3 linked regions of the Rhinolophus ferrumequinum genome follow. The protein of the gene in region 1 binds, or shares a complex with, the protein of each later gene. Links are inferred from orthologs where the notes say so. Each region holds a gene or a part of one and is shown in the gene's direction. Other genes may lie near its edges.

Region 1 (7,610 bases):
TTGCTCTTCCATTAAAATACATCAAGTCTACATTTCTAAATCACTACGTATAAATCTATATAATTCTTTTTTGCAGTTGTATAGATTCCATAGTACAGATATACCATTGTTTATTTCACTATTCCCTATTGAAGTGCATTCAGGTTCTTTTGATTAGGTTGAACCATATAAAACTGCCATATTTGTAGGCATTTTTTTTGTGTGTGTGTGTGTGTGATTATTTTCTACTACAAACAATACTATGATAAATATCCGTGTACAAATATCTCTATAAACTTTTGTTTTTGAAGATAAAGTCCAAGATGTGGGATTCTTTTTTAAAAGGTGTGCGTATTTTATTCATTGAACGTAGATTGCTTTCTAAAAATGTTGGTATAATGTATGGTCCCATCAATGACCTTTTGGGAAGTCATAACTCACAGTGGCTTCTTTTCAGTGCTTCTCTGAGCTGACTTCTCCACACTACACATTACTGACCACAACTCCTCATGGCAGCACTTTCAGCCAGTTTTCCACCTGCACCTTTTTGGTCTCTTTCCCTAGCTTCTCTTCTTTTGTTGCTCCTAGATACTTGAATACCACACGGTTCTGTCTTGGCTCACTTTTCTGGTCACACTAAATGCTCTATTCTTTCCTTAAGTTTATGGTTTCAACCATAATCTCCGTCTTGCCTTAGTCCATCAATGAGGTGGCCCAGAGGTGACTTCACCTGAATTAGAATAGGGTTTCCCTTTCTGAAGACACCTTACTGTCATTGTCCAGAAAACTGTGGTAATAACTATTCAGTCACTATTCAATAGTCTACAATATATCCCCTGGATTGTGTGTCATATGACCTCCATAATCATTATGGATAGCTGTGTTTTCCATTCCTCTCCCGGGTCCAAAGTTCTGTATCAAACCTGTCTACTGAGTATCTCCAGCTGGAGGTTTTACAGACACGGCCGATAGAAAAGACCCATTGTTTAGCTTATCGTCACCCCCTCTTGAAATAACTCTTTATGCATTTCTTTTCTTCGTAAATGAGACTCCCATTCACTGGGGTGCCTATCTTAGAAACTTAGAAATTCATCATAGATCTCTCTCTCTCAATTCACATCTGATAGGTTACCAAATCCTGCTGTTTTGATTTCATATTCCTGAAATCCATTATCTCTTTTCAGTTCCCAGTGCTGCTGGCCTGACCATCCTTTTCATAGACTTATCTCTCCCTCCTATTATCCACACTGCTGCCAATTTATTTAACTTGCAAATCAATGAGAAAAATACTTTACTGTCTGTAATTGTCAAGAGGCTAAAATCTAAACTTCTTAGCATGACTTAATAAAGCTCTTTATTATCCAATACCTACTTAACGGTCTTGACTCATTTCCTGACATTCTCTAAAAGCAACCTATACTTCAGCTATATGTGTCTACTTTCAAATCCCTAACATGCCAAGAGCTGTCTAGTAATTCAGTGTCTTTGCACCTGCTATCCTTCTGCTTAGAATTCCTTGTCAGTCTTGTTGGCCTGACAACCTCCGACTTGTATTTCAAGGCGCAGCTCTAGGGTTATTTTCTCTTCTTTAAATTCTTTAGGCAGAAGTAAGCGCTTCGGTACTTGAGTTCCTTGTTAATATGGTACAGTTCTGCAGCATAGCAATTTAAACATTTTAATTATTTGTGTTATTAATTAGTATTTCCAAACTAGGTTGTAAGCTCCTTGAGGGTAGGGACTATGATTAATCTTATCTTTGCACAACCAGCACTTAATACAATGACTGACATTGAATATTTAACAGACACTTGAATGAATGTGAAAACGAATTAGTTAAATAGTGAGAATACTGTCCAGGCTAGGGTTTAAGGTTAAGCTAGAGATTTTCACTTAGGTAACTTAAAAGAATTTGGAAAAAAAATATAATAAAGGAAATTTAAGAACAGAAAAGTAAATCTCATATTATTTCACCATCCTAATGTCTATCTTAGTGCATTTACTTTCTTTGCTCAGACACGTGAGATATATATATATATATATGCATATATATATATAAAACACGTGTTTATGTATATATTTATATTTCATACAGCTGTAATTAAAACGTACATGTACTTTTACATGCTTTTAAGTTTAGCTAACTACAAACATTTTCCAACACTGTTGCACAGTCTTCCAAATTATTATTTTTTTCAGCATTGTATAATAATATCTCATTTCCTACTTAGATTGAAAGCCTAAAGAGACTTAGGTTGTCCTCAGTTTTCTGTTATAAATAGGAACAAATCCTAGTTTTGTGGGACTTGAAATTGATACAATTTTGAGGGGTGTTTAAAGAAAAAGGATGCAAAATCATCTGACTTTTGCAAATAGGCCCATGTGACCACACTGTTAGGGCCCCTCCCTGGGCTCTGGAAGGGGCTTGGGAAAGTGAGCGGTCATGAAGTTCAAGTTTCACTAGCTTCATGGTTATCTACCTCCAATTATAAATAATTCTGCAATAAACATTTTGAGCATGTAATTTTTGTCTCCCATTATTTCCCAATATTTCAAGTTACTATGACACCATTCACCTTGAAGGAGTTGAGAAAGAAAAGAAATGGTCATTTCTTGAACACCTGTTATATATTGAGCAGTTTATATATATTATTTAATTTAATCCTTCTGACAAGCCTGAAGGAGGCATTATATCCACTTTACAGAGGAGAAAACTGAGGTGCAGTGCATTTAAATATCGTGCCTCAAGTCACACATCTAGTAACTAGTAGGGTTTGGGTCCTCACCCGAGTCTCATTCCAAACTTCATGCTTTTATCACTAACATTGTTTCTCCACAGACTCAGTAGCTTCACAATAATTCCCTAGGCTATTGCTGAAAAACGGGGTTCTCAGTTATGCGTTTTGAGGTCAGAATACAAAACTTGCACAGCACTTACATGGTACTTGGTAGAAGGTAATTGAAATCAATAGTGGGTAGACTTTCTCAGATGAATTTATGAGAAAATGATTTGGCTGTTTCTGCCTTTGTATCTGCTGACAGACACGCATTGCCCTGGTTCAGCCTGCATTTCTTAGAAGGAGGAGAGTGAAGTAAGAAGTCCTGGCTTAAGTTTGGGTCCTGCCATTCAGTATTTGAGTCTTGGGTAAGTCACTGAACTTCTCAGATTCTTCTTTTCCTCCTCTGTGCAATCGAGGGTAAGTAACAAAACCTGTCTTACCCCAGGGTAGTTTTGAGTGTCAAATTTGATGTGTGTGCAAGCACTCGGTGAACTCCAATGTCACTCGGTACTAGTAACATTTCTGGAGTAGCTCCACTTGTTTCCCATGTGCCCCCAGGTAAAGGTGTGTAACAGCTGGACAGAACGGACCAGATAGCTCCATTATGGTTAACTCTGGGAGTGTCCTTTCAGCCACTTAATATCCGAGAGCGTCTGGGTCGCTCCGCTTCAATGCCCAGTGCAGCGGGAGTAGCAGAGGCTGTGCAAAATGAGTCAGATTCTGGGGAATCCTTTCCTCCTCAAGCCGAGAACTGATCATCAAAACATGCCGAACATTCATTATTAAAAGGCAACTTGTAAAATCCTCAGTCCTCTCCAATTGTCCCTCTGCTCTGTCTTAGGTGCTGACGCATTTATCTTGAAATTTTATCTGCCACTTCAGAAATCTTTAGTTCGTGTAGGACTTAATTCTGGGGGGGAGTCTGTAGTTCGGGGAAGCCAGGAGAGAAATAAAAAACCTGAGTTTGAGTTGGGGTTTGAGCATCCTTCACCAGATCCACGTTTGAAGCTGGGGTTCAGGGGCACGGGTTTTTCTTTTCCTTAAAAAATTGCCTAAACCAATTTCCAACCCTGAAGATGGAGCTGCTCATCCCGTGTCGGGATCCACGTGGCTCCCCGAGCGTGGATCTGCGGCTCAGGCGCCCCCGGCCTGCCGCCCCCCGGAACCCCGGCCCAGGTGCTGCCGGCGGGGACCCGCAGGTCCACCTGGCTCCGCCGGCGGCCGCCGCACAAAGAGCGGAGCAGGCGGCTGCCCGGCGGAGCAGCAGAAAGTAGTCCCGACCACGCCGGCTCCAATGTTATTCGACGTCGCTTCACGCCCTCCACGGGGAGGGCTCAGCGGCCGGCCGGGCAAAGAATCCCATTGGAATGCGCCGCGGCGCGGTCTATCCCCTCCAAGTCCCCTCTGCTCGCCCCGCAGATCTCCGGGAGTCTCCAAGCAGAGGCAGGGCGTGCACCCCCACTTTCTTTCATACCTGCCAGAGAGGGGGTGCCCAGGGAGGGGGCTCGGCCGCGCGCAGGGACACCTTGGCCGCGCGCAGGGACACCTTGGCCGCGCATCCCGGCGACGGGCGGCTCGTATCCTTGCGCCGCTGCGTGAGAGGAAGAGGCTGAATGAGGAACTGCGCGGGGGAAGCGGGGCGCCGGGGGAGGAGGCGTCGGGATGGAAGCAGACGCTGGCGTCGCGCGAACCCTGGCCAGAGCGGCGCGGTAGAGAGGGCGGCGGCGGCGCGCGCGGAGCCCTGACGTGCCCCTTTCTTCTCTCTCTGGCAAGCTGGGAAGCATGAGCGTGCAGACCTGCCGCTGCGGCGGCCGCCCCGGCTCCTCGCCTCCCCCTCTTCTGGTCGCCCCTCGCCGGTGAGAGAAGAGAACGCAAGAAGGGAAGATGGGGGCCGTCCTGAGGAGCCTCCTGGCCTGCAGTTTCTGTGTGCTCCTGAGAGGTGGGAAGGGCGGGGGGGTGGACACGGGAAAGTTGGTGGGATTTGGGGGGGGAGGTGGCCTTGTTTTGTGTGTGTCTGGGGGGAGGGGAGGGAGGGAGGAAAAGGAGAAGAGGAGCGGGGAGAGGCCTGGTGGTGGGGAAGGAGAGGGAAAGGGGCCCGGGAAAAGGGGCTGTGCGCTCTGTCTGGCCACAATGCAGACCCCTGCCTCGGTGTAAGACCTTCTCGGGACGAATCAGAGCCTCAGCCCGGGCTGCTGGTCTAGGTGAACCCCTGGAGTCCCATGCTGTCGGAATGACTGAGGGTCTGTGTGTCTCTTTCTGCCTGCAGTCATCCGGGAGCAGGGTCTTTGTATGTATTTTGGCGTTTAGAATGTTGGAGCCCAAGATGCTTTAACGTTGGTCTTCTTCCTCGAAGCCCCCACCTCTTCTGTGTCTCTCATGTGCACTTTTAGGGTCCTCGTACTATTTTTCCAGGTCTTGTTACAACTAATAATTGGCTTCCGTTCGGGATATAATGATTCTGGGTGAGAGCACAGTTGGAGAGTGACTCCGAGGTTATAGGTCGAGCGATTCAGCGTTGGGAATCTTCGGAGCTTCAGCCCATAATAAAATGGAAGCGTTGCCCTTGCCACCCCTGGTGCTCAGGACTTGCCCCTATTTTCGGAGCATGCGAGTGTACAGTTGGCACTAACTGGGAAAGTCATCCTTGTGTGAAAAGGAGCCTGTCCTGGGACCTAAGTTATCATTTGCTGCGCTCCCCTGGGGACTGCTTGGCACTTTGGTAAATAACATAGGCTATTCTATGTAATTTGCTCTGAGAATCGCATACATTCGATGGTCCTGTGGTTTTTTGAATTGGCATGCGAAGCTGTCACATATGCTGTGACTTTGATTTTGTGACAGTTCACTAAGGTTTAGACTGGCCGGCAAGATATCAACAGCTCTTCTCAAACTTACCAGTGGTGAAGTGGTGATCAGTCTGATGCTATTGAGCCTTTACCAGGAGAGGAATTTAAATCCTGATTGATGCAGAGGCTTGTAGCTTTGGTTTTGTTAAAAGTCTCACTTGCCGTTCCCGGTCAGTTCTTTTCAGGTATGGGACCTCTTGAATCTATGGAGCTTTTTAGCTATTGATTTAATAGGCTAAACTTTTGTTAAGCCTCCAGAACGTACTGAAGTTTACAGAACATGATAGTAACTAACGATCTTGCGATATGAATCAGCCAGGTGTGCCATTTCTGTACGTGTAGGTTTAGTTTGGGTGAGCATAAGTGACCTTTTTCTTTTTTGAGGAAGAATTGTTTTTCTTTCCTCTTCTGCAGGATTATGATGTTTGTATGTTTTATCTACTTCTACTTAATTAGGACTCACTAAGCGTATTCCAAACTGTTTCCACATGTAACCCCCAGAAAGATAATGCTCATTTAATTTTCTTGGCAGAGGATTTAATGTGGTGTTTACGCACTTGAGAGGTTTAATAAGTATATGTTTATTGTAGTATACTCCCTGTTGAAAGGGGGTTTTGCCATAGCTGTGAGAAACAATTATATTTGACATAGAAGATGTATATATTTGAAGACAGAAAATAAGAGTTAACAAATGTGGGAGTCAGCTGATTGGTTAAAGTCTTGGGGAAATCTAAATCCATAACCCGGGATGCTCCTGGTTGCCCAGTTGTATTTCTTGCAGGGGAAGGGTGTGATGTAAATGACACTTGTTTATTTTAACACCAAGTTTGAGCCTAGAGTTGGGTTTGTTCATTACTGGAATTAAGAGAAGTTGAACTTGAAGTAGTGTTTTGAAGTATGGTAGTATTGTAACAAGACCTAAGCATTAGTAGTTTAAATGGCCTCATACCTGCTAGCAAACAAAGTTTCCAAAAGTGAAGGTTTCATTTTAAATGTAACATAATAATGACATAAGGTGGTCTTTGAATGTAACAGTACATAACTGTGAGTACATATCATTTGAACTAAAACTGTCTTTTGATTGTGAAACATTGTATTCATAATTAACTTCTTTTTATTCTTTGATAATGTCATCCTCTGTTATAATAGTGATACGAGTTCACCTTGGGCTCTAAGGAAAAAAATGTGATTAATTTGTTGTATTAAGGTCATTTTTCTTTACTGAAGAGTTGGAGCTTTAACTGGGAAGATGGGATGATGAGAGAGTTTGGGAAACCTTTTGCCCTGTAGCCCTGTTAAGAGCTGAAAGTTGGGGAATAATGCCGTCATCAGCTAGGCTGCATCTCCGTCCCTATTATCAGAGGACAGGGTGGAATGGAAAGAATGGGAGATTTTAACCCTAAAATCTTGGGTTTCAAGTCCATGCTTCACTACTTAATAACTATGTTTCTGGTCCAGGCAATTTCTCCGGGCCTCAGTTTCTTTACCTGTAAAATGTGGGTAATAATACCACTCTAATTTTCAGGTTTACTGGGCATATTAAATGAAGTAATGACTATGAAGTGACCTACAAATATTAATTTTTGTTATAGTTTTTGGTTATTTGTGGACATGGCCTCAAATGCTGGAGATTTGAGATTTATTAATAATTTGTGTAAGATTCATGAATTCTTAAAGGTAGGTGAGATCTTGGTCATTTTGGTCTGACCGCTTCATTTGCAAGTGGGGAAACTCAGATTCAGAGAGATTATAACTTGATCAGTATCTAATGGTAAAGCAGGGATTTATTGTTCATGCTTTTAGCAAATATGTTGGAATACCTACTATATTTCAGGCTCATGGTCGCTGCTCTAACGGACCTCACAATCTAGGTTGTTATTTTTACCATTCTCTTAGTTCCGTCCAGGTACTGATTAGAAAAGATTGTATCTCCGATTTTCTAGAGGACATATTTTATTAGAATATATGCTTTAGAGTACCATTAGTGTGTATAATCTGTCAATACTAT
Region 2 (7,543 bases), on another chromosome or scaffold:
TACCCTATTGTAAGCAGGAGCCTGTGTTACAAAGTGCTTTGCAGCTCCTCTCTCCCATCCCTAAGAAGCTGCTGAATGTACAAGTAGGATTTCCATCTGTGCCAAGACTCCCCAGAGAACAGTTCTCAACTGTGAATAAAGACGGGGCGATTTGGACAGCCCTCAATGCAGGCAACTGCCTATAAACAGATTTCCCTCCAAATCCATATATTCCATTTTCGCCACTGACCTGTGGGACCAAAATCTGTTCAAAAATGCAGCCCTCAGTTTCCATGAATTAGAGACAGGTGGCTTGAATACTAAGTAGAGAGTGAAACTTAGATGGCCTTTGAGGTTCCTCTCACATCAAGGATTCTATGATCCTGTGCATTCAAAGGAGTGTAACTTACTTTCCAAATTTGGCGTGTCCTTGAAAGTCTGATGGAAATGCTACGTCTTTCTATGAGGATCCCAGATCCACCTTAGGGGGAAGGGAGTGTTCTCTCCTCTGAAGGCCCGTAACACTTTGTCCCTTAAAAAAAAAAAAAAAGCCTCTGAACCTTTTTTCAGTGGCACTAATCACTTTCTATGGAGTTATTTGGTTGAAGAATTTATTTCTTCCCTGTTACAGGAGCTCCTGGAGGGGGAGCGTGTCAGTTCATAGCACCCGGCAGGAGGTCTTGTTTCATTAAATGTTTAGCAAGTGGACGTATGAACAAGCAGTGTGGTAGAAGCAATACCCAGTAAATCATCATATAGAAAAAACAGCCTTACTAGGAATTTAGGTATGGTATTACAATATTAAATTCAATTTAAAAAATCTTAGCTCAAAACCCGTGTTGGCAGCCTGGTGGAGAAACATGCGGTTATGGTTTGATTTGTGTCCCTCCAAAATTCATATGTCAAATCCTAACACCTAGTACCTCAGAATGGGGCCTTATTTGAAGTAAGGTTATTATAGAGGGACCATGTTTCCCCGAAAAGAAGACCTAGCTGGACAATCAGCTCTAATGCATCTTTTGGAGCAAACATTAATGTAAGACCCCGTATATATTATATTATATTATATTATATTATATTATATTATATTATATTATATTATATTATATTATATTATATTATATTATATTATATTATATTATATTATATTATATTATATTATATTATGACCTGGGTCTTATATTAATTTTTGCTACAAAAGACCCATTAGAGCTGATTGTCCGGCTAGGTCTTATTTTTGGGGAAACAGGGTAATTACGGTAAGATCATTAGAGTCAGCCCCAGTATGACTGATGTCCTTATAAAAAGGGGGAATTAGGACATGGACATGCACACCGAGGGAACACTGTGTCAAGATGAAGGCATGGATCAGGGTGATGCTTCTTGACAGGCCAAGGAATGCCAAACATGGCCAGCAAACCACCAGAAGCTAGGGGAGAGGCATGGAACAGACTTCCTCACCGCTCTCAGAAGCAACCAACCATGCCAACACTCTGACCTCAGAGTCCCAGCTTCCAGAACTGTGAGACAATACATTTCTGTTGTTTAAGCCCCCAGTGTGTGATACTTTGTTCCAGCAGCCCCAGCAAACTAATGCCCACTTATATGTCACTGGTCAGATTGGGGACCTGGCTGGGATTTCTGGAGAACAACCCTGCAACATGTAGCAAACTGTTTACCCTTTTGGACTAGCATTCACTTCTGGAAAATACTTTAACATTTGAAAAAAAAATTACTTTGTGGAATACTACTGGGCAATAAAAAAGAATACATTGTGGATAGTACATGCAACAACTTGGATGAATTTCCAGGGAATCATGCTGAGTGACAAAAGTTAATCCTAAAAGGTTACATACTAGTTGATTCCTTTATATAACATTTCTGAAATGACAAAACTGTAGAAATGGAGAACAGATCAGTGGTACCGTGGGTTAGCGGTGAAAAGGGTTGGCATGGGCGGAGGGTGATTCTAGTTATAAAAAGGCAACAAGAGAATCTTTGTGGCCACAGAGTTGTTCTTTATCTTGGCTGTGATGGTGGCTACTTGACCCTGCACATGTGATAAAGTTTCATATAACTAAACATACTCACGTACAAGTAAAATGGGGGAAATCTGAATACGATTGATTGGTGGAGTGTATCAATGCCAATATCCTGATTAGGATGTTTCACTATAGTTTTGCAAGATGTTACCATTGAGAAACTGGGAAACGGTACATGGAATTGTCTCTGTATCATTCCTTACAAGTGCATGTAAATTTGCAATTATCTCAAAATAAAAAGTTTAATACAAAAAATTACTTTGTACAGGATGTTCATAGCATCCCTACTGAGGATAGGGGAACACTGAAAATAAACTACCCACAACAGAAGTCAGCTAAAACCCCGGGAGTTTAAGTGCGGGAGTATTGCTGAGCTCTGAACAGCGATAAACTTGTGGACTGAGTAAAGCTAAAGTTGAATTAGTGTTATGTGAAAAAGCAGATGGCATCATAGCAGGTTCTCTCTGAGCCATTCTGTGGAAAGTATGGCTATACGTTGGCAGAGAATAATTCAAAAAGATGTAGATAATTTAGAGATTCAAGTCCACTGGATTCTTCTTTTTCTCTCATTTTAACATTACTTCAGTTTCAAATAAGATAATGACATGAAATAAACAAAATCCTGAGTCTCTCCACTCCTAGTCCCTGGCTCCTCCTTCTGTTTCCAGCAGGTGGCAGAAGTGTTCCAAGGATGGTCCCCACGGTCTCTGTTTCCTTTGGATGGGCCAGCAGCTCTCAACAGCAGGAGGGGCTCGAGCATCAATCCCGCCAGCTCAAGGAATCCAGGCAGCAGAACTGTCTTCTCCGAAGCCCAGGGCAAGGAGGCAGTTGTCTGGCCTCAATAGGGTTAACAGTCCACATTCCAGAACAAGGGAAAAGGAGACTGGTGGGTCACAGACAGGCAGAGGGGGTTCTGGAGGGCCAGCTTCTCACAACACACAGCCTCTGTTGGGAGAGATAGATCACCCCCAACAATGGCCACAGCTGTTTTCGTCTGCCCTGAAGGAAACTGACTTAGGAAGCAGGTATCAGAGAGGGCCCTTCCTGCAGGGGCTTCTGTCTGGCTTGTAAAACTGTCAGAGCAGCTGCATTCATGTGTCGAGTGATGGATGATGGAAAGAAGGAGGGACAGATGGCCACAGATGGACACAGTGACTTACAAGTCCAGGCAGGTGGCAGAGGCCTGGCAGAGGCTCTGCAGGTGGGGCATGCTGATTCATTGCCCAGTGAAAATACCAAGGGGACCTGGGCCACAGCCCTCTTCCCAGCTCCTTCAGGGCCGGAGTGGCTGCACCTCCTCAATCTGTCTGCAATGAAAGCTTCCGCTGGCCCTCCTTTCTTTTCCTGCACCTCAGGTGTGAACCTTCCTGCCCCTGCACCTCTGCCCCTCCCAGGCCCCTCATTCTGCTCCAGGGCTGAAGTAGCAATTCCTTTTGGTTTCTTTGTGGCTGGCTGGACCTGGGGTGGCTTCGTGGAATCCTCCCCGTGGTATGCATCAATCAGATTTTCCATATAGGACTCAACGCTGGTTTTGAAAAATGAAATGGGCTGGGAGACAGAAAAAAAACACGTCAGCACTAAAAATGTTGGCCTTGGCTTTTGCTAAGAAAATGGATTTTGTGCTCTCTACTCCTACCCGCAGCCCGGCCAAAGAAATAACTGTCTTTAGCACATGCGCCTGCGAGCCACAGTGAGTGTCCTGGCCAAAAAGTGCCTGTCACCGTGTGCGGGATCCCTGAGGAGCTTGAAATGCAGTTTCCTCCTTGAGCTCCAGCACCAGTTCCCGTTGACTTGCTCATCCTGGCTACTTATAATGGGAATCCCCATCTCCTTGCCCAAGTGGGCACCCTTGCTGTGGCCCTCAGTTTTCCCTCTTGCCTTCCAGAGGATGCCAAGCAGGGCTTTTTTGATCAGAACAATCAATGCTGAGCCTCATGGACTTGGGACCAATGAGATTTCTTTAAAAGCATGCTTCTGCCTCTATTTGGGTCTGTGGGGGGCCAAATTGACACCCCCTAGGGCCATTTTTTCATGTGACAAATGAACTTGGCCTTAGAAATGGGATCAGTAGGGCTCAGCCCTATGGAGGATTCAGAGCTGCAGTTTTCTTTGTTAAGCTTGTCCAAAGTTTGTTTTGAGAAAGCCTGAGGGCCCCAGGAAGGTAGAGATTAAGAGCCGGGATTCATTTTGATATCTGAAAACCACAGCCGTCTGCTTGTGGGAGGCGCTGGAGAGCAGGCTTGCCTCACACACACACCCCTCTCTCTGGGTCACCTGGGAGCACCAGCAGCAATTTGGGAGTTTGCTGCCCTTGAGGAGAAGTCTTTGTAGCGGGTTTGTTCTGAGCACACCCCTTTCCCTCCCCCTGGGCTGAGGAAAGCATGGGACCAGCACTGCCCCAGCCTGTCATTGGCTGGCACTAGGCAGAGGGGGCTTTAAAAAGGCAAACGTGTCTGGGCTGGGGACTGGAGCTTGTGCTACTGGAAGGCCAAGTGCCCTCCTCCGGCTGGCACCATGCAGCCCTCTCTTGCCCTGTGTCTCGTCTGCCTGTTGGTGCACGCAGCCTTCCGTGCGGTGGAGGCCCAGGGATGGCAGGCCTTCAAGAATGATGCCACAGAAATCATCCCTGAGCTGGGCGAGTACCCTGAGGCCCCGCCAGAATTGGAGAACAACAAGACCATGAACCGGGCGGAGAACGGCGGAAGGCCTCCCCACCACCCCTTTGAGAACAAAGGTATGGGGTGGAGGAGAGCACTTTAAGCATAGGGGTCCTCTCATGGGAGGGTTCTCTTTGGGACGTGTTGAAGACTAGGGTAGACTGTTAGCCACTGCCAGCAACGGTGGAGGGACAGTCTTGTCTGGAAGCAGGAGAAGGATGACCTGCCAGCAGAGCCTGGGAATCTGAGTGCAGTGACTTGAGACTGGCAGGGGGCAGGATGGAGGCTGAGGTGGTGAGGGTACAGCATTGGGACAGGCTCCGAGGCTGGGAAAGCTTTCAAGGGATCCCTTCCTGAGACTACAGGAGCCTGGTCCAGCTGTCGGCACCACTGAGGAGGGAACAAGGCAAGGGAGCCTCGTATCTATGAGCACCTGCTGGAGGCCAGATGCTCTCTGTGAGCTGTACATGGGCTGTCCCCCAGGGACCCACCACGTGGAAGCCCCCTAAGGTGAACTCCCAATTTGAAGGTGAAGAAACTGAGGTTCCAGAAATGAAGTAATCTGGTAGTGAGTAGAAGAACTGAGATTTGAACCCCTTTTGATCCAATTCCAAGACAGCCCAGGTAGGGGATTATGGGTGGAGTGTTGGGGACCAAGAGCCAGAGCAAATCCCTCTAAAGCAGTGGGAAAGGGATGGCAGAAAAGCACTCCATCAATTCCCCCTGCCCATGGTCTGCCCGGTGAGCTGGCACTTGAAGGAATGAGAGTGTAGGCACAGTTTTAGCCTCTGGGTGGCAGCTGGACCTTGGAGGGGAGGCAGCATCCTCTGTGCAGGGAGTAGACACAGGTGGCACCATCTGTCCTGGGTCCCCACCTCATATTCGACCTTGCCTCATTTCTGGGGAGGGAGCCTGACCCTACTGAAAAGTCAATGGCCCCAGTGGAGGGTACACCTGGGTTCCTGATCAGGTGCCCACAGAGAAGCCTGTGGGGCAGTGTGCACAGCTGGCTCTGCAGCTGGCAGGAATGGCTGGGGGTGGAGGCTGGGATGACACTTCAGACTAAGGGCCTCAGTGCCCTCTGGCCATTGTCCAGAGGGGAGAGGAGCCCACTGCCCAGGCTCCTACATTCCATCCGTCCCTTCCTCCCAACTAGCTGGGAACATGGGGCTCTGCCAAGAGCAAAACCAGAGGAGCCTGGGGGTCCCTTGGGTCTTCCTACCTGGAGGGCGGGCGTGCCCTCCCCCTACTTCCCCCACCCCCAGAGAAGGTCAACTAAGCTCAATCCATGGGCTCTAGGGGACCCACCTATGAGATGTCCACATCCCTGAGCTCCCATGAGAGGCCACAAGCCCCAAGGAAGCCACTTGCTCAAAACAAAGTCACCCTCTGAAGAGGAAGTGCCTGACCTAGGGGCACTATTCTTGGAAAGCCCAAAAGCCTTCTTCCCTGGGCAAACAAGCCACCCCCACACACCACCCCTGCAGCCTGGGAGCAGGAGTGAGGATGCCAAACCAACCCAGAAACCAGAAGGCCAGCCACAGGAGGAAGGCAAGCTCCACATCTCCCCTGCTGTGTTTGCTCTCCAGTGTCTGGCTCTCTCTGCCCCCTCTCCGGTTTTGGTCTTAGGATTATTTTTCATCCCTTTGTGTCACATGGGTCCCATAAGACTCTTGGGGGTGGACAGATGCCCACACGAGGATCAGCTGTTTAAAAAGCTCCCGCTCATCTAAACCCATAGTAGAAGACACCATCAAGGTGACTTTAGGGGCCTAAGCCAGGTCTCAGAGCTCAGTCTTACCCCACCCAAGAAACAAGCCTGTGCCACCATCAAGTGTCTATTCAAATGGCACAGAGCAAGAGACGTGTCCAGCAGGGTGCCTGGTACACAGCAGGTGCTTAATAAATGTTTGTGGCAGTTGAGCCTGTAGGTTTTCCGGCAGAGCTTGGTCCCCTTCTGCTAGGGAAGTAACTATAGTAAAAAGCAGCCCTCCGCCCCGCCCTCCCCTCACTCCCCAGCCCAGCCTCCCATGGTTGCTTAGGCACACAGCTTCCACCTGTGTGGGAGCCAAGAGGTGCTGGGGCCCCAGGGAAGTAGAGTCAGGAGACCCAGCTCTGCCTTTTGGGCAAGTGCTTTTCCCTGTCTGTCCTCAGTGATAATGAGGGGGTTTGCCTTTGGCTCCTTTCAAGTCTAATGACTTGTCCTCCTCTCCACCTCTCTTCCATCCTTCTCCTTAGCAGCAGCTGCCCTGATTTATCACCTTCAATTAATCCCTACCCCTGTCTCCATCCCCTAACCGCCCCTCCCAAGTGGCCAGAAAAGGAATTTGGGAGAAGCCAGAGACATGCAGACGGTGTGGCTAGTACCTACCCTGCCATGGCCAGGGACCCTGTGGCACAGGTGTGACCGAAGTCTGGCGAAGAGGAACAATAATAATACATAGTAACAGCCAACACTTCCAGCTTTTACTATGTGCGGGTGGTGTCCCCTGCATTACATATGTGATGGATAAATGAACGGAATCCTCAAGACAACCCATTTTACAGATAGGTTGCAAAAATACCAAAAACCAAAAACCAAAAACCAAAAAAAAAAAAAAAAAAAAAAACCACCAAAACTTGGCTTCAAAGTTTTAGGAGGAGAGGGTGGGCTGGAGAGCTTCCCACCGGCTGGGCCCTTCCCGTAATAGATGCCCAGAGGCAAAAGAACCCTGTCTGGAGAAAGGCAGGTTTGGGGAAGGCGGGGTGAGGGGGATGGAGGGGTGTAAGGCCTAAGGCTTGGAGGGAGCCGCCGCCCTCACGCGCGCCTCTCTCCGCAGACGTGTCCGAGTACAGCTGCCGCGAGCTGCACTTCACCCGCTACGT
Region 3 (7,762 bases), on another chromosome or scaffold:
TCTTCCGTTCTGCTCATTACTGGCCGCCCTGACCTCTTCATCAGTGACACATTCTCTTCCCTTAGAAAAAGGTTTAATCTATTTGTACACTGCTGTTTTATTCATGGCATTATCCCCATAAACTTGGACTAACATGTCTCTGATTTCACTTCCACTCTTGCCAAGTTTAACAAGAAATTTAATGTTTGTTCATTTCTCTAATTCAAACTCAGACATTCTTGCGACGGCACACGAAAACGCTCAACAACAATAATGAACACCACTCAGCAAGACACCATCACACATCAACACGAACACAGCTGTGAGACACTGATATACCAAGGTTATGAAACCTTACTGAGCTGTTTGTACTGTGCTGCCAATGTAAGTGCGCGGTGGCAAGTTCACAAACGTAATTGTCAGACCTCGTACACACTGTGGACCTTTCTGATTATCAGGAAATCAGAAAAAGTCCTCTCTGGTTTTTAATCAAAAGTTTCTGGGTCTGGGCTCTATTCTTGGATTAGTGGGGTTTTTTTTGTTTTTTTTTTAATGTCCCACTCCTTTAAAACACATCTTCTGAGCTAGGATAGAAAGCTACCATGGAGCCTGATTTATCTGGGCTGGCCATCTCCAATGACCAAATAAACGTAATCATTGTCAAATCTCGCCTTCTCTGTCTCCTTAGGGGTGCAGAAAAGCCTAATCCAGCCTCTTAGGAGTCATAATAGGGGCCTGGTCTAAAAGCTCTTTTAACATCATGATGAGCATTGAGACCAAAATCTTTTAAAAGCCAATGAGAAAGTCATAACATTCTTTAAAAAAAAAAAAAAAAGAAAAAAAAAGAAAAACTAAACTCAGCAATGAGGAATCTCTACTATAAACTGGTACCAACAAAAATGTTGGCAACACCCCTAAGGAATGACATTTATCCAATGTTCTCTGAGTGAAGTAAAATTAAATGGCAACAGATCTGCTTCCTTTGATTTAACAAAGATAAAAAATGAAAGGAGGAGGAAAGGAAGAAGGGAGGGAGGAAAGAAAGGAGGAAGAGAGGGAGTGAATTAAAAATGCAGCAGTCACATAAGAATCTCAAACAACAACGATGGAAAAATAGTTGTGAATAGCGTGATCTTTTTTGGAGTGTATTTGTCTGTTTGTCTTCCTCTGGATGAAGAGGTTGATGAGTAATCTATGTCTGGCATTAAGCACTTAAAATGTGAGGAAGGCACACAGTACCGTGCTATTCCTGAGTTACAAGGTTAGATTTCACTTTAGTAAACATATTTTACCTATTTTAAAATTTAATACAAAATATTAAACTTCTTGCACTAGTGGATTATGGTCATAATTAAATTAAATCAAAGAGGAGGTGGGGTTCCCAACAGAACTAAATAAACTAGGTGTAATCAATTAACTATGCCTGCCCTGACTCCCACTAACTCTCTCACCTAGTTGTAGGAGAGACCCAGAGAGTCATCAGAATCCTCTTTACCTGAGGATTGTTGGTCGCAATTCCTGGTTACAATTCCTGGACCTTTTCCCATTTTCTCTATGACCTAATATGTGCCAAAATGTAATCTGTTTTGGAAAATATTTTACCCCCCATTCCTGTGTAAGTATATTTGTTTACTCATAGACTGAAAGATTTCTGAGGATAAGGAGACTGCCTTTAATATTTTGGGGCTATACTCCCAAAGATACTAGGAAGTATACCCCCTAGTATACTAGGGTAGCATTTTGCATATAATGGGCACTTACCGAAGTTTAATTGGCTGTTGATGGAACAATGAACTTCACTTTACCTCACCCACCCTGCTCTTGTTGCCAGTGAGCAAACTCAATCATGGAAAGAATTTTCAAATGGAGATTCCACTGAAAAAGTAAACGTTCCACTTAGAACAGAGCTGGCTTGCTACATATTTGCCTGGCTCCCTCCTGCATAACTTCTCTCCTATATAATTTGTGAGTTTACCTCCCTTCCCCCCACTCAATTATTTGAAGGTAGATAATGAGTCCTCACATACCAAGGACCACGGTTAGCACAGAGTAGCAACTCAGATATTGACCAATTCATTTTTAGCTTTCAAGTTATGACAGCTTCAGGAGAAACTTGGAAAGTGTGGAAAACTTGGAAAGTGAAGAAAGAGGTAGGACTTAGTCTGCTCTTGAAACCCTACTCTTGGCTAAACTCCCCTAACTCAACACAACAGATTCTGTCTGAGCTTAACGAAAATTAAACCCATACAGACACATACATATTCAGGATCAAGAATAAGTTTATGCAACATGCCTTTTTGTAAAGTTTTCCTTTTGCTGATTAAATTGTTCCACTGTTCTTTTTTTTTTTTCCTTCACTAGCAGATAGCTTCACTTGTGAATCCAAGTTCTTAATGGTCTAAATTTGTTAAATGTATTATTAGCATGTACCATCGCTTGTGAAAAGAGGAAAAGAAATTGGCCTTTAGTGTGGCACAAGCATATTTTTAGAAAAAAAATTATTTAGGATAATAAGAATATAAAGGAACATTTCACACTTCCCAAGGTCAGGGAATTCTTTCTCCACATTTCAACATCTTAAGAATTTAAGACCGACTAGATTTTCTACCACATCAAAGATGCTCAACACATTGATTATTGACATTGTTATTAATATTCTGCAAGTGATAATATGGCACCTAAAAATCCCTTATGCCTTTGCCCCTTTACACTATAATACCTCCCGTCTCTATAAACTTCAAGTAAACTGAGGAGAGAGCCATATCTGCCCAGGGATACCTGCCGATTCACTGCCGAGTCTCAATAAAAGGTGTATTGACTTACTTGTTTCTTAGGTTCATTTTTTAAAAGCTAATATAAACAACCTCCCCTTTGTATCAAAACTTCAATTTGTTTCAACCATTTCTAGAGCAGTAGCCAAGTCTAGATTATTGTACATGTTCATACTAAAACCTAAAGAAATGTGTGGGATTTAATCTATGTTAGAATTTCGAGTTATTAATAAGCTAGAGGACATTTCACAGGATAGATGGAATTTGGGATGCGAGGGATACCAGTATAATTGGAGGCATTACTAAATAATTATTTAGAAGCTGTTCTTAATATGACCTCTGAAACCCAAGGAACTAGAACACAGACCGCTACAATCTTTAAAAAAAAAAAAAATGTACCCATCCCTTTCTTAACTTTGGATTATTCCACTTCAAGACTATCCATCACTGGCTATACTTGGTCATGGTCCCAGCCATGGATATCGTAGGTCAGTGTGTAATTTTAAATCCCATAGAAGTTAGGAAGGAGAAAATAAATATATACGACAGTGATTATTCAATCTTCTCTTCCTTTTCTAAACTGGCATAGCAGTTCTCCATTTTCTGACACTTAACTATCAAACTGTTTTAAAAAGAATCGTGTACATTGCTTACCTTTTATTATGACCATAATTAGAATAGTCGTCTAAATATTTGTATTCACTGTGCCCTCCCCTCAAGGGCATCAACCCTGGAGGGGGTAGCCTAATGCCAGGGCACTCAGCTTCCACTGTTTTTGTTTAATAAATAAATGATTTCCAATTTATAAGCAGGAGAGCAGTCTTACACACTAGCCCTACTTTATTGTTTTTATATACTGATTTAAATGACATCAAATTCACTTTCTGATTTACTTTCAGCTTCCCTTTTCCTGAAGCTAGTCTCTTTACTTCCGAGAGGGGGTTTTCCTGGTCCACCAAAGGTCTGACTTGGGATAAAACACAGGCGTTCTCAGGCTTTACGATATGAAATACTAATGAGGAAGCCAGGAACTAAGCCTTAAGGGTTTCTTATCTCCCTGCATTAACCCACCACTGAGAAGGGGGAACCAGCGAAGGACAACTGACCCAGCCGTTGGACCCTGTCCGCTTTTGCTCCCGCCACTTTGATCTCGCCTGTCTGCCTAATCAAGTTCATCTACTGCTGCGACTGCTCAGATTCAAAGAACAACATTAAATAGTTTGATTATCGGATGGTCATTTCCCTCTTCTCTCCACCCATGATCTAATTTCCAAACGCCAGTCTCACGCCTCCCTCTCTAAACTTCCCATCAAAAGAGAATTAGCTCTTCTTCCTTCTAACCCTCGTTTGATGTGCAAATTTCCTTCTCTTTGCACATTTTTCTCTCAGTCTCGGCGGGAGGGGGGGTGGAAGAAGGAAGCGGGGAGGAATTCAGCGAACCTAAAGCCAAGCACCTCACCCCAAGTCTGCAAACCGTGACTCTAAAGGGTTAATCAGCAACTTGCACTGGCCACCTGGTCCTTTTCCCGGAAAGATTTCGATGTAGCCTTTGAATTACTGATCGGGGTGTATTTAATGCTGAATATTATTTCTGTGCACAATACATCAGTACTGGCGTTAGGGAGAGAGGAGAAGTGTGCCCTTGCAGAGAACATCACAATTCTGTTCTGAAAAGTATTTCGGATCCTGATAACCCAACCCCTACTGCAAGGCAAGGGAACCAGTGTTTCCAAAGTTCCTTCTCCTTTCCGCATTTATTAAAGTCGTCGGCTCTAAAGCTCACTGATTAGTCCTCCCGAAGGTGTGCAGGACCGGTGGAACGAATGCGCAAGGGAAGGGCGGGGTGGAGAGTGTCAAAGGCCCCCATTCAAGTACACAAACACACCCGCTCCCAGCCCCTCCCAAAGCTTTGAAATCCCATCCCAGCTTTGTTGTCTCCCCCGGAGGGGCCGGAATGCTCAGAGCCCGCAGTATAAAGGCAGTCGTGGTGGCGGTGGCGGTACAGAGCTTCATGCGTCCTGCAGTCAGGACTGTGCGAGTGCTGGAGGCTCCGGGAGCCTCACTCTGCAGCCGCGCCAGCACGGCTTCGTTGGGGATCAGGCTTGCAAAGTGACATTCCTCCTTTCTCTTTCTTTCTCTCTCTGGAGTTCTTCTGAGATGAAGGCTCTCGGGGCAGTGGGAGCTGCCCGGGTCTTGGTCGCCCTGGTAGCAGTGGCTGTTTGCGGCCACTCTCTGCTAGGAGTGAGCGCCACCTTGAACTTGGTTCTCAATTCCAACGCCATCAAGAACCTGCCCCCACCGCTGGGCGGCGCGGCGGGGCACCCAGGCTCGCCAGTCAGCGCGGCTCCGGGAATTCTGTACGTTGGAGGGAACAAGTACCAGACAGTTGACAACTACCAGGTGAGAAGGGTCTCGGGGATCTGGGAACGCTGTGACCCGAAGAGATTTCATCTGGGGAGAAGGGTATAGAACGAACTAGTGTGTGGTTCGGGGCGCATTTGGAACCTGTATTTGGGAGCAGTAGGTGGCAACAACTTTTGGACAGGTGGGCAGAAAAGGACTGAGATTAGTGTCCAGGTCCAGGAGTGTGGGTACTTGGATGCCTAGGTGTCTCATCTTCTCCTGGCCCCTTTCCCGCAGCCATATCCGTGCGTGGAAGACGAAGAGTGCAGCACGGATGAGTACTGCGCGAGTCCTACCCGGGGAGGAGGCACCGGATCGCAGATTTGTCTCGCCTGCAGGAAGCGCAGAAAACGCTGCATGCGTCATGCTATGTGCTGCCCTGGAAATTACTGCAAAAACGGTGAGTTCCTTAGCTCTGTTTCGGACTCAAACTATCCCGCCTTTGCTCACTTGCGGATAGGAGAAAACGTTGTGTGCTCCGTGAAAGCTGCGGCGCCACATGTGCAAATGGGTATTCATTTAGCATGCAAGGTTCCCCTCAGATATTTTGTTAGTGTTTATCTCGGAGGAGAGAAACGTTTAGGGGTCTTGGAGCTCTGTGTCTCCCTCTGTCCCTCAGTCATTTAACACAGCAACTTATCTCAGACTGGACCCCTCCATTAAAAAAAAATGTTTTGCAACAGACTTAATGTCAACTGAGAAGGAAGAGGGGTTAGGAAGAGTGGGATTATACAGATACCAAGGAAAGGGACGTTGATGTTCAGCTACCCTGTCCATTTTTCTTACAGTGCCTCTCTGTGCTCTGCCAGTCTAGCCTCTCCCTCATGATCCCTGATGAAACTGTTGTCAGCCAGAAGACAATGATTTATCTGTGCTGGCCACTCTTAAGGGAGATCTTGATACCCTCGCATCCTGGCCTCTTCATCCTCCCCTCTGCCTCCACCTCCTGCTACCTTAAAATAAGTACTCCTTTCCCCAACCACAGATCCACTAAAATTTAATGTCTCAAAGAGGTAGACTCAGACAGCCAGGGAAGACTCCAGAAATAAACTTAAGGGTGGCAATCCTCCTTAGGACTCAGTAATACTTCAGGATGAACTAACTAGATCTCTGTAATATAGAAATTACACAGTAAAGTAACTGGTGGGTGAGATTGCAATCTTCCAGGCAGCTGGTATTGCATTTGCTTAATTTAGTGGCAGTACCCATATAGCATGAAGGGCAGAGAAGTTATTTTTAAAAAACAAATTTTAAGTGACTGATTTTTCTTACCCCAACCAAGGGTGCAACTAAAATGGGCAGAAGACGCACTGTCACTACCTGTTTGGTAGGAAAGTATTTTAAATGCTATATTAGGGATGTTGTATATCACTGCACAGTGTACACATTGATGCTTCTGTCCTGGGGGTTTTGCACTAACACTAGGAAGTTTGGCTTGTGTTTAAAATCATGTCACTACAATCAGGTCTCTCACATTGGTGGAGGCATAACAGGCTGTCCCTGTCACAGCTGTGAGTGGTAACATAGTACAGCTCAGGAGTTAATCACAATCTCCCACTTCCTTAGGACTGTGTATGCCTTCTGATCACAATCATTTCCATCGAGGGGAAATCGAAGAAACAATTATTGAAAGCTTTGGTAATGATCACAGCACCCTGGATGGGTACCCCAGAAGAACTACACTGTCTTCAACAACGTATCATACCAAAGGTAGGTTAAGGGACCTTAAGACTCTTTCTTCCTTGTTAACACATCAGAAGTGCTTTTTGGATTACCTTCGTGAAATAATGCAGGGTTAGCAGTGACAATGTACTTTTCTTATTGTCTCTTCTTTCCTAGGACAAGAAGGTTCTGTCTGTCTCCGATCATCAGATTGTGCCACAGGCCTGTGTTGTGCTAGACACTTCTGGTCAAAGATCTGTAAACCTGTCCTCAAAGAAGGTCAAGTGTGCACCAAGCACAGGAGAAAAGGCTCTCATGGGCTGGAGATATTCCAGCGTTGTTACTGTGAAGAAGGTCTGTCTTGCCAGATACAGAAAGAGCACCATCAAGCTAGTAATTCTTCTAGGCTTCACACCTGTCAGAGACTCTAAGCCAGCTGTCCAAACACAGTGGACTCCTTTATATAATATATGCTATGAAAACCTTTTGTGATTTTTGCCAGCTCTACCCTGAAGGATGTACAAATTCTGTGATTCTAGTTAAGCATTCCAATAATACCTTCTAAAATCTGGAGTGTAAGGGCTTTGTTTCTTTATGGAACTCTCCTGTCGTTGATTGCAGTAAATTACTGTGTTGTAAATTCTCAGTGTGGCACTTATCTGTAAATGCAACAAAATTTTTAATTATTTTTTCTAAAGGTGCTGCATTGTCTGTCGTTCCTCTTGTTATGTAAATTTTTGTGCACATTGATTGTTATCTTGACTCTGATAAATATTCTATATTGAATTGTAATAAATCATTTCAGCTTATACTTCCTAAATGTATAACCCTCCCCTTTTAATTCTAGAATCTAGAATGCAATGAGCTTTTGGAATGACAACTAATAGGTATCTAAAATTTATCATGAAAATACTAGCTTATTTTCTGAAATGTACTATCTCAGTGCT

What was found.
Region 2: the proteins of LRP6 (region 1) and SOST are in contact, whole or in part, in a crystal structure (PDB 6L6R), measured with the Homo sapiens proteins. The link is inferred for Rhinolophus ferrumequinum from reciprocal best matches to the Homo sapiens genes LRP6 and SOST. Residues at the interface, in NP_001401174.1 of Homo sapiens: Arg28, Asp52, Val70, Ser71, Glu73, Leu95, Ser96, Asp98, Glu115, Arg141, Trp157, Trp183, Asn185, Ala201, His226, Phe228, Trp242, Met269, Arg336, His361, Asp379, His404, Asp406, Thr422, Glu447, Arg449, Trp465, Trp491, Asn493, His534; in NP_079513.1 of Homo sapiens: Leu115, Pro116, Asn117, Ala118, Ile119, Gly120, Arg121, Arg169, Thr171, Arg172, His174, Asn175, Gln176, Ser177.
Region 3: the proteins of LRP6 (region 1) and DKK1 are in contact, whole or in part, in a crystal structure (PDB 3S8V), measured with the Homo sapiens proteins. The link is inferred for Rhinolophus ferrumequinum from reciprocal best matches to the Homo sapiens genes LRP6 and DKK1. Residues at the interface, in NP_001401174.1 of Homo sapiens: Arg639, Glu663, Ser665, Ile681, Tyr706, Glu708, Thr724, Arg751, Trp767, Gly768, Gly769, Pro771, Val790, Gly791, Arg792, Asp811, Thr812, Asn813, Leu814, Pro833, His834, Phe836, Trp850, Ser851, Tyr875, Met877, Arg1184; in NP_036374.1 of Homo sapiens: Glu185, His204, Phe205, Trp206, Ile209, Gln218, Val219, Thr221, Arg224, Arg225, Ser228, Gly230, Leu231, Glu232, Ile233, Phe234, Arg236, Ser258, Leu260.

Annotation. Positions count from the first base shown.
Region 1 is NC_046293.1:27,146,576-27,154,185, reverse strand, and holds the start of LRP6 (low-density lipoprotein receptor-related protein 6), read left to right. Parts: upstream 1-4,563; 5' UTR 4,564-4,640; coding exon 4,641-4,695; intron 4,696-7,610. UniProt on the Homo sapiens protein: Component of the Wnt-Fzd-LRP5-LRP6 complex that triggers beta-catenin signaling through inducing aggregation of receptor-ligand complexes into ribosome-sized signalosomes.
Region 2 is NC_046304.1:38,984,284-38,991,826, reverse strand, and holds the start of SOST (sclerostin), read left to right. Parts: upstream 1-4,466; 5' UTR 4,467-4,535; coding exon 4,536-4,755; intron 4,756-7,497; coding exon 7,498-7,543. UniProt on the Homo sapiens protein: Negative regulator of bone growth that acts through inhibition of Wnt signaling and bone formation.
Region 3 is NC_046299.1:35,191,558-35,199,319, forward strand, and holds the start of DKK1 (dickkopf-related protein 1), read left to right. Parts: upstream 1-4,712; 5' UTR 4,713-4,907; coding exon 4,908-5,150; intron 5,151-5,390; coding exon 5,391-5,553; intron 5,554-6,719; coding exon 6,720-6,863; intron 6,864-6,992; coding exon 6,993-7,246; 3' UTR 7,247-7,762. UniProt on the Homo sapiens protein: Antagonizes canonical Wnt signaling by inhibiting LRP5/6 interaction with Wnt and by forming a ternary complex with the transmembrane protein KREMEN that promotes internalization of LRP5/6.